2 linked regions of the Arabidopsis thaliana genome follow. The protein of the gene in region 1 interacts with the protein of each later gene in a pairwise test. Each region holds a gene or a part of one and is shown in the gene's direction. Other genes may lie near its edges.

Region 1 (3,111 bases):
TCTTGCGTTTCCTGTAGCTTTAACAATCGATCAAGACATGTTGAAGCGTAGTGACCTAACTTGTCGCATCGGAAACACATTACTCTTGACGTATCTCTTCCTCCATATGAACGTCCACATCCTCTCCCTCTTTCATATCCTCTTCCTCCTCGACCTCTGCCCTGGAATCGTTTCCTGGATCTCGATTGTTTGAGTAACTTCCTTGAGAATCCATATTTGAATACAGAAGCTTGCTTTGGTCTTCTTGAGGATCATCTCCATCAAAAACATGCACGTTCTTCATATACTTTCAGCCGACCAACTATGTCATCAAAAGTTATGGTGTTAAGATCTAAGACTTGTTCTAGTGCAGCTACTATGTGAATGTATTTTCTTCGTGGAACACTCTTAAGAAACTTCTTAACAAGTCTTGATTCTTCAATAATTACACCTAAAGCAGCTGATTTTGCTGAGATCTCAGATAACTTGCCAGCAAAGTCATATATTTTCTCAGAATCCTTCATTGTTAATCGGTCAAATTCGGCCATGAGGGTTTGTAACCTAGCATCCTTGACTCTCTCTACCCCCAGATGTCTTGATTTGATTGCATCCCATACTTCTCTTGCTGTATCAAGTTCTCCGATTTGTAAAGCTAATGCTTCTGGGATTGATTGAAACAACAAAGCACAAGCAACATCACTCTTATCTTCATCAAACGGTTCTGTCACCTTGTCTATCATGTTCCAAGCTTTATGAACCTTTAGTGCCCTCTTCATCCTCATGGCCCATACCGTGTAGTTGATAGCGTTTAGCATAGGACATTGGATTGAAGAGGATCCACTAACTTCTTTCGTTGTTCTAGCTGCGGGAACGATATCACTCATTTCTTCTTATGATTGATTCAATAGCCTCACGCTCTGATACCAAATCTAGAGTTTAAGAAAGATTAAGAACTCAAAATATAAAGAATTACTCTCTTTATTACTTTAGGAAAATAGCTCAAAACCTAAAGCTCTCAATCTCACAATCTCTCTCAAAAGCTCATAAGTTATACCACACATTGGTATCTCCTTATATAATAGAGATTCAACATTATCCTAATCATTAGATAACTCCTAATGAATATTCTAGATAACTCCTAGAATTACAAGGAATTCCTTTTCTCTTAAATAAATAAATGACTTATTACTTAAGTCTTCTTCAAGCTTAATCCAACATATATTGCCTTCTTGGTGGGATAACATAGTTCAAAATACCGAGTTATTCATTGTTGGAATGACTGGTAGAGGTGAAGTTGTGTTGTCACCGTACTGTCTAGTACTAGAACCATGTTACATTGATTAATTCAACCTCGAGAGGAGGAGTTTCACAAGAGTTCAAATACAAGGTCTTGAAGTGCTTATAAGGGTACGAGAGTTTACACTTCTCTAGACTATGCTGAGAATTTGAAACTTATGTAGGGTTCAAATCTTATTTTTAAGCTTTTGTCTAGTTTTGGATAAAAGAACAAAATATCAAAAATCTTTTGTATGTTCATATATATTTTATTTTTTTTAATTAATATTTCATTACTTTTCTTTAGTATATGGAGTATTTTTATGAAACAAGAATTGTGAGAATTATGAATCTTACCTCTTACAATTCTTACATATTTTTGGATTACACCAACAAAATAAGATATTTTGAGCTGAGTGCCTGTTTTTCTTGGCTTTTACTCTTTTTTTTTTTTTTTAAACATTCTAGGTTAGCTTAACAAAAACAACAAGCAAACAAAACCTTAGGATGGGAGTTAAGTCATTACAAACTTAGCAGCAACCTATACTCTCAATACTCACTACAAATAAGCCCCATGATTCTCCATCTTCCTCAAACCATTTCCACCTCAAGAAATAAATCATCAGAGCCTCACACATCAAACACAAGTAATGGCCTCCACGGATTCAGTTTACCGTCCCACACCAACTCCAGACCATGACACTACTGTTGTAGTAGTTGTGTTTGTTTCTTTGGGTTGTGTCATGTTCTTGGCGTTTCTAGCGTTTGTTATCTGGTTCTTGATCAAGAAGAGATCCAGGAAGCACCGTGAGAGATCTGAAGCGGTTCGCGTGGATGAACACTTTAAGATGAAGGAAGCTATAGTCGAAGGACCTAATGGACAAAAGTCTGTGGTGTTATCAGTTGAGGATGATGTTAAGATCGAAGACGCGATCAAGAGAGAAGAGAAAGATCTGAAGAAAGATGGTGGAGTTGGATCATCAGTCGTTTCCCGTTCGTGAATGAGCTTTCTTCATTCATAATGTTACCTATCTATTTATTTATATTAAAATTGTGGTTGTGTGTGAATCATTTGTTTGGTGAAATAAAAAAAAAGCATCTGAAATATTTATTTAAATTCTTTGGACAAAGATGGTTCTTCAAACTTGGGTTGGTGAATGGTGATGGTTTTTATGTTCTAGGAGCGAACTTTTATCTCTATCTCTCTAAGAAAAGTAATCTTTCAAAAAAAACTGTAGAGAAATAAAATAGATAGTTGTTTTTGGTTAAAACAGATAATTTGTAACTGTAACTCGATAAGAATATTAATTAAAAAAAACATACAATGTCAAATGAAATCATACTTAAAATTGGACATTTTTCTATTTGAAAACTTGGTATTGGTATACTAACACATATACCATGTTAATCTTCTCATTATAGTTCTACTTAATATTTACCAAAACAAAACAAAAAAAACAATTATACGTATTTAATTAACAAAACAAATACATTAATTCTGAAGATGGAGAAAAAAATTGTGTCTTGATAATGCTAACTTACCAAGTCTCCATACATGATAAGAAAATTACACACACATATATATATATATATATAAATATGTCATATATAAGTTTATTTTTGAGCTAAATCTTCAAAAAGTTTCTATTGTAATTTCTAAGCTTAAACAAAAATTGATACATTCATTGTCTAATACTGTTCTGGTTGAATTCAATTTTATATTCAATTAAAATTAATATTTTCTTACCAAACATCACATTCATACATAAAATAAACATTGGAATTATCATTCTGAAACTAATACAACATTTAAATATTAGAAATCCTATAAAATAAAAATTCGTCCTTTCTTTTCTT
Region 2 (7,486 bases), on another chromosome or scaffold:
AATCTAATTAATATTTCCTTTAAAATGGTTCCAAAAGGCATCACCAACATGGAAGGTGGCAAGCTAGGATCGGAAGAGTCGCCGGTAACAAAGACCTCTACTTGGGAACTTTCGGTACATTTTCCAATAAAATCTATATACTATAAGATATTAAATATACACAAATATATCTAAGTGAATCATACAAATTATGTAGGCACACAGGAAGAGGCTGCTGAGGCTTATGACATTGCAGCCATTAAATTCAGAGGATTAAGCGCAGTGACTAACTTCGACATGAACAGATACAATGTTAAAGCAATCCTCGAGAGCCCGAGTCTACCTATTGGTAGTTCTGCGAAACGTCTCAAGGACGTTAATAATCCGGTTCCAGCTATGATGATTAGTAATAACGTTTCAGAGAGTGCAAATAATGTTAGCGGTTGGCAAAACACTGCGTTTCAGCATCATCAGGGAATGGATTTGAGCTTATTGCAGCAACAGCAGGAGAGGTACGTTGGTTATTACAATGGAGGAAACTTGTCTACCGAGAGTACTAGGGTTTGTTTCAAACAAGAGGAGGAACAACAACACTTCTTGAGAAACTCGCCGAGTCACATGACTAATGTTGATCATCATAGCTCGACCTCTGATGATTCTGTTACCGTTTGTGGAAATGTTGTTAGTTATGGTGGTTATCAAGGATTCGCAATCCCTGTTGGAACATCGGTTAATTACGATCCCTTTACTGCTGCTGAGATTGCTTACAACGCAAGAAATCATTATTACTATGCTCAGCATCAGCAACAACAGCAGATTCAGCAGTCGCCGGGAGGAGATTTTCCGGTGGCGATTTCGAATAACCATAGCTCTAACATGTACTTTCACGGGGAAGGTGGTGGAGAAGGGGCTCCAACGTTTTCAGTTTGGAACGACACTTAGAAAAATAAGTAAAAGATCTTTTAGTTGTTTGCTTTGTATGTTGCGAACAGTTTGATTCTGTTTTTCTTTTTCCTTTTTTTGGGTAATTTTCTTATAACTTTTTTCATAGTTTCGATTATTTGGATAAAATTTTCAGATTGAGGATCATTTTATTTATTTATTAGTGTAGTCTAATTTAGTTGTATAACTATAAAATTGTTGTTTGTTTCCGAATCATAAGTTTTTTTTTTTTTTGGTTTTGTATTGATAGGTGCAAGAGACTCAAAATTCTGGTTTCGATGTTAACAGAATTCAAGTAGCTGCCCACTTGATTCGATTTGTTTTGTATTTGGAAACAACCATGGCTGGTCAAGGCCCAGCCCGTTGTGCTTCTGAACCTGCCTAGTCCCATGGACTAGATCTTTATCCGCAGACTCCAAAAGAAAAAGGATTGGCGCAGAGGAATTGTCATGGAAACAGAATGAACAAGAAAGGGTGAAGAAGATCAAAGGCATATATGATCTTTACATTCTCTTTAGCTTATGTATGCAGAAAATTCACCTAATTAAGGACAGGGAACGTAACTTGGCTTGCACTCCTCTCACCAAACCTTACCCCCTAACTAATTTTAATTCAAAATTACTAGTATTTTGGCCGATCACTTTATATAATAAGATACCAGATTTATTATATTTACGAATTATCAGCATGCATATACTGTATATAGTTTTTTTTTTGTTAAAGGGTAAAATAATAGGATCCTTTTGAATAAAATGAACATATATAATTAGTATAATGAAAACAGAAGGAAATGAGATTAGGACAGTAAGTAAAATGAGAGAGACCTGCAAAGGATAAAAAAGAGAAGCTTAAGGAAACCGCGACGATGAAAGAAAGACATGTCATCAGCTGATGGATGTGAGTGATGAGTTTGTTGCAGTTGTGTAGAAATTTTTACTAAAACAGTTGTTTTTACAAAAAAGAAATAATATAAAACGAAAGCTTAGCTTGAAGGCAATGGAGACTCTACAACAAACTATGTACCATACAGAGAGAGAAACTAAAAGCTTTTCACACATAAAAACCAAACTTATTCGTCTCTCATTGATCACCGTTTTGTTCTCTCAAGATCGCTGCTAATCTCCGGCCGTCCCTATGGAAGCTAGCGCCGGTCTTGTCGCCGGTTCTCATAACCGTAATGAACTAGTCGTCATTCACAACCATGAAGAGGTTTTTCACATTTACTTTTTCTCATCACTTACCAAAGTTTTTTTTTACCAACGCTAGTAAAATATTATTGCATTTTTTCGTTTTATTTGGTTACTATTTTTTAAAAATTCGTATGTTTTGGGAATAAAAATATGATCATTTTTTAAAATCATCTTCTTATTATGAGACAAAAATTTATAATCTGTATTCTGTAGTTGCAATAATGTTGTAGAAAATTCATATCTTTGTTAGCAAACATAATAATTTTGTTGGTAATATTAAGTTGAGAAGTCAGGTTTAACCATTTTAATCGCTGTCATTTTTTTTATTATCTTTACTTCATTAGAATCTTTTTTTGTTGATTAGAAATTTCAGGTTTTATTTCGTCTTTAAGGAACTTAAACTTTTGTGTAATTATAACAGCCAAAGCCTCTGAAGAATCTAGATGGACAATTCTGTGAGATATGTGGAGATCAGATTGGTTTAACAGTAGAAGGAGACCTCTTCGTAGCTTGCAATGAGTGTGGTTTTCCGGCGTGTAGACCTTGCTATGAGTACGAGAGAAGAGAAGGAACACAAAACTGTCCTCAGTGTAAGACTCGTTACAAGCGTCTCAGAGGTAAGTTATTTATTAATCTCCCTCTGCTCTTGTGTTGTTCGACGAAATGCCTCTATGAAAATTTAAAAAGGCTGTTCCTTTTTTTAGTTTGAACTTGGAGAGTAATGATCTGTTTTTTGGTTTCTGAAGGAAGCCCAAGAGTGGAGGGAGATGAAGACGAAGAAGATATTGATGATATTGAGTATGAATTTAATATCGAACATGAACAAGATAAGCATAAGCATTCTGCTGAGGCTATGCTTTATGGGAAAATGAGCTATGGAAGAGGTCCTGAGGATGATGAGAATGGGAGATTCCCACCTGTTATAGCTGGTGGTCATAGTGGAGAATTTCCAGTTGGAGGAGGTTATGGTAATGGAGAACATGGGCTTCATAAGCGTGTGCACCCATATCCATCATCTGAAGCTGGTGAGTCTCATGGAAATGTTAACTTACATATAGATTTAAGAATGTCTCACAGTGATGATTAGTTAGGGTCATGCATATCTCCATATGTGCAAATAACATAAGTATGAGGCCTTCCAGCTTAATAGTAGATAGGGACATAGTTTCATAAACATGGACTTTGGGTTCTATTACATTCTTTCTATGAAATTCATCAGCAGACCCTTTTTCTAACAATACTTTCCTTTTTGTTTATGTGTGTAATTTTAATGTGGTAGGGAGTGAGGGAGGATGGCGGGAAAGAATGGATGACTGGAAGCTCCAGCATGGAAATCTTGGGCCAGAACCAGATGATGATCCTGAGATGGGACTGTAATGCCTCCACAAACATTTATCTAAGACATCAGTTTTGTATGATTTGGATTCATGCTTACAAAATTTTGGATTTGACTGGAAATGGCTGTAGGATCGACGAGGCACGGCAGCCACTCTCGCGGAAAGTTCCCATTGCCTCAAGCAAGATCAATCCATATCGGATGGTCATCGTCGCTAGGCTTGTGATTCTAGCAGTTTTTCTGCGGTATAGGCTCTTGAATCCAGTGCATGATGCTCTGGGATTATGGCTGACCTCTGTGATCTGTGAAATCTGGTTCGCTGTCTCTTGGATTCTTGATCAGTTCCCCAAGTGGTTCCCTATTGAACGTGAGACCTATCTAGATCGGCTTTCCCTCAGGTAAAATCCACAGATTCTCAAGTAGAAGTCTTAAAATCTATGACGTTGGAGTTTGGATGTAAATATTTTTTGTTTATACAGGTACGAGAGAGAAGGTGAACCAAATATGCTTGCCCCTGTAGATGTCTTTGTCAGTACGGTGGACCCATTGAAGGAGCCTCCCCTCGTCACATCCAACACTGTGCTGTCAATCTTGGCCATGGACTACCCAGTTGAGAAAATCTCCTGCTATGTCTCTGACGACGGTGCTTCAATGCTTACATTCGAATCTCTCTCGGAAACTGCTGAGTTTGCAAGAAAATGGGTTCCCTTCTGTAAGAAATTCTCCATAGAGCCACGGGCACCGGAGATGTACTTCACGTTGAAAGTTGATTATCTCCAGGACAAAGTCCACCCAACATTTGTTAAGGAACGTCGAGCCATGAAGGTCAGTGTATATCACCTGATCTAGTTATACCACCACCCATCTTTTCACTATAATCTAAACTTCATAAGTGAAATTGACATATGACAGAGAGAATATGAGGAGTTCAAGGTCAGGATCAACGCTCAAGTGGCGAAGGCCTCAAAGGTTCCTCTAGAAGGTTGGATCATGCAAGATGGAACACCGTGGCCAGGGAACAACACCAAGGACCACCCCGGTATGATCCAAGTCTTCCTCGGCCACAGCGGAGGATTTGATGTCGAAGGGCATGAGCTTCCTCGGCTTGTGTACGTGTCCCGTGAGAAGCGTCCTGGTTTTCAACACCACAAGAAAGCTGGCGCCATGAATGCCCTGGTAATTTTCTTGATCTGCCTTGGACCAAACAAGAAACTGATCTCCGTGTCTTGGACCTAACCTGATACTTCTGTCAGGTTCGAGTGGCAGGCGTACTCACAAATGCTCCTTTCATGCTGAACTTGGACTGTGATCACTATGTAAACAACAGCAAGGCCGTGAGGGAAGCAATGTGTTTTTTGATGGATCCTCAGATTGGAAAGAAGGTCTGCTATGTTCAGTTCCCTCAAAGGTTTGATGGCATTGACACAAACGATCGTTACGCCAACAGAAACACAGTCTTCTTTGATGTAAGACTCAATTCATATTTTTCCAACTTCTGGTCTAAATGAAAATGTACCCTCTTGCTTACACTCTTGTTTGCTACAGATCAATATGAAAGGTCTAGATGGAATCCAAGGTCCAGTTTACGTTGGTACTGGTTGTGTTTTCAAACGACAAGCTCTGTATGGTTATGAACCACCAAAGGGTCCTAAACGTCCAAAGATGATAAGCTGTGGTTGTTGTCCTTGCTTTGGGCGCCGGAGAAAGAATAAGAAATTTTCCAAGAATGACATGAATGGTGACGTAGCAGCCCTTGGAGGTAAATTATCCCAACAACCTTATAATATCAGTCCATTCTTGCAGTAGATTTCGTTTATGTTGGAATCTTGCGGATCTGATAGTGTTTTTTGGCAGGAGCAGAAGGTGATAAGGAGCATTTGATGTCTGAAATGAACTTTGAGAAAACATTTGGGCAATCATCCATCTTTGTAACCTCAACTTTGATGGAAGAAGGTGGTGTTCCTCCGTCATCAAGTCCTGCAGTGCTCCTTAAAGAGGCAATCCATGTCATAAGCTGCGGTTATGAAGACAAGACTGAGTGGGGAACTGAGGTAATAATACTGAATCGTAGAAATCACCTTCTTATTTGTGATTTAGTAGCTGGCCATTGTAAAAAACGTTTGTGTATCTCGAAATTGCAGCTGGGTTGGATCTATGGCTCTATCACAGAGGATATTTTGACGGGATTCAAGATGCATTGCCGTGGATGGAGGTCTATTTACTGCATGCCTAAGAGGCCTGCATTCAAAGGTTCAGCTCCTATTAATCTATCAGACAGGTTAAACCAGGTTTTGCGTTGGGCACTTGGATCGGTTGAGATATTTTTCAGCCGGCACAGTCCTCTCTGGTATGGCTACAAAGGAGGCAAACTCAAGTGGCTTGAGCGTTTTGCTTATGCCAACACAACAATCTACCCCTTCACATCTATACCACTTCTTGCCTACTGTATCCTTCCAGCCATCTGTCTCCTTACTGACAAATTCATCATGCCACCGGTTAGTAAAATTATCAGAGAAAAGCACTTAGAAGCTGCATCAAATGTGCTAACTATCTGTTTTCCCAATTTTTCTTTCAGATAAGCACATTTGCTAGTCTCTTCTTCATCTCACTGTTTATGTCGATCATTGTAACGGGAATCTTGGAATTGAGATGGAGCGGAGTTAGCATTGAGGAATGGTGGAGAAACGAGCAATTCTGGGTCATTGGAGGAATCTCAGCTCATCTCTTTGCGGTTGTCCAAGGTCTCCTCAAAATCTTAGCAGGCATTGACACAAACTTCACCGTCACATCAAAGGCAACAGATGATGATGACTTTGGAGAACTTTACGCATTCAAATGGACAACACTGCTGATCCCTCCAACAACTGTCTTAATCATAAACATTGTTGGCGTTGTTGCAGGCATCTCAGATGCCATTAACAATGGATATCAGTCTTGGGGACCTCTATTTGGTAAACTCTTCTTCTCCTTTTGGGTCATTGTTCATCTCTACCCATTCCTCAAAGGTCTGATGGGTAGACAGAACAGAACACCAACCATTGTGGTGATTTGGTCAGTGTTATTGGCATCTATCTTCTCTTTGCTTTGGGTAAGAATTGATCCTTTTGTGCTCAAGACCAAAGGACCTGACACTTCCAAGTGTGGCATCAACTGCTGAAGCAAAATCTTTTTCGTCTTCTGAAACTTTTTCTGTACTTTGTCGAGAGTGTTTTCACTTCTCTCTTTGGATTGCATAATTGGATTTTGTTTATTGTATATTAGCCAGTAAAACAGATGGATCTGGGTTTATTGTGAGCGAGTAATGCATTGTAAGAAAATTTGAACAAAACTACTTTTTAGTTACACAGTAAAAGATTCACAGATACTTCCCTCAAGAGACATGTAGTTGCAGTGAAAACCCACAAATCTTGAATGCAAATTTTTAACAGAGAGCCTGAGACTTGTTCTTATATCGTGGAGTTCACAAACAAAATAAAGAAACGACAACAAAAGCCTAAACACACGCACACATCTCATAACAACTTCTCAAGCTGAATATCATTTGATAACATTAAAAAACAAATTGAATTGCCTGAGTTTGTTTAGTTAAAGTCTCACCTCTTATTCTTTCGAAACACCAAGGATCCACTGGGAGAGATGAGTCAAGTATGGCTCAGCCTGGGAGCCTTTGCTCAAGACTGGTCCTAAGCTCTGCAACTCCGAGTTGAACTCCCTTTCGAAATTGCTGGTAGAACACGTAACAGACATATTAGAACAATACCGTGATAATGAAGTTCAAAAATTCTAACAGCAACGGCTTTTGTAGAGATAGTGTAGCCATTAGTTTGAAAAACAATTCCTTGTTACTACTTACAATATGGACTCTGTAACGGTTGTGTCTCTTATCATTGTCTTCTGTGGATGAGACTGGCTATTGATGTCGATAGACGATGATATCAACCACTGTGTGGCTGCAGCATATTGCAGACACACTGATTTCAACTTCTCCATTTTCTGCACCATCAGTAAATATGAGTGTAAAATATTGATAAACATTACA

What was found.
Region 2: the proteins of TED6 (region 1) and IRX3 interact in a protein complementation assay, tested with the Arabidopsis thaliana proteins (one study listed by BioGRID).

The regions. Positions count from the first base shown.
Region 1 is NC_003070.9:16,574,048-16,577,158, forward strand, and holds TED6 (tracheary element differentiation-related 6), read left to right. Parts: upstream 1-1,711; 5' UTR 1,712-1,904; coding exon 1,905-2,255; 3' UTR 2,256-2,494; downstream 2,495-3,111. UniProt on the Arabidopsis thaliana protein: Involved in the secondary cell wall (SCW) formation of vessel elements (e.g. protoxylem and metaxylem), thus promoting tracheary element (TE) differentiation.
Region 2 is NC_003076.8:5,735,977-5,743,462, reverse strand, and holds IRX3 (Cellulose synthase family protein), read left to right. Parts: upstream 1-1,962; 5' UTR 1,963-2,055; coding exon 2,056-2,130; intron 2,131-2,532; coding exon 2,533-2,728; intron 2,729-2,857; coding exon 2,858-3,136; intron 3,137-3,390; coding exon 3,391-3,484; intron 3,485-3,578; coding exon 3,579-3,845; intron 3,846-3,926; coding exon 3,927-4,272; intron 4,273-4,359; coding exon 4,360-4,623; intron 4,624-4,700; coding exon 4,701-4,913; intron 4,914-4,992; coding exon 4,993-5,206; intron 5,207-5,301; coding exon 5,302-5,498; intron 5,499-5,588; coding exon 5,589-5,942; intron 5,943-6,022; coding exon 6,023-6,604; 3' UTR 6,605-6,833; downstream 6,834-7,486. Other genes in the region: BBM (Integrase-type DNA-binding superfamily protein), read left to right, coding at 38-114, 197-921; AT5G17410 (Spc97 / Spc98 family of spindle pole body (SBP) component), read right to left, coding at 7,048-7,171, 7,301-7,440.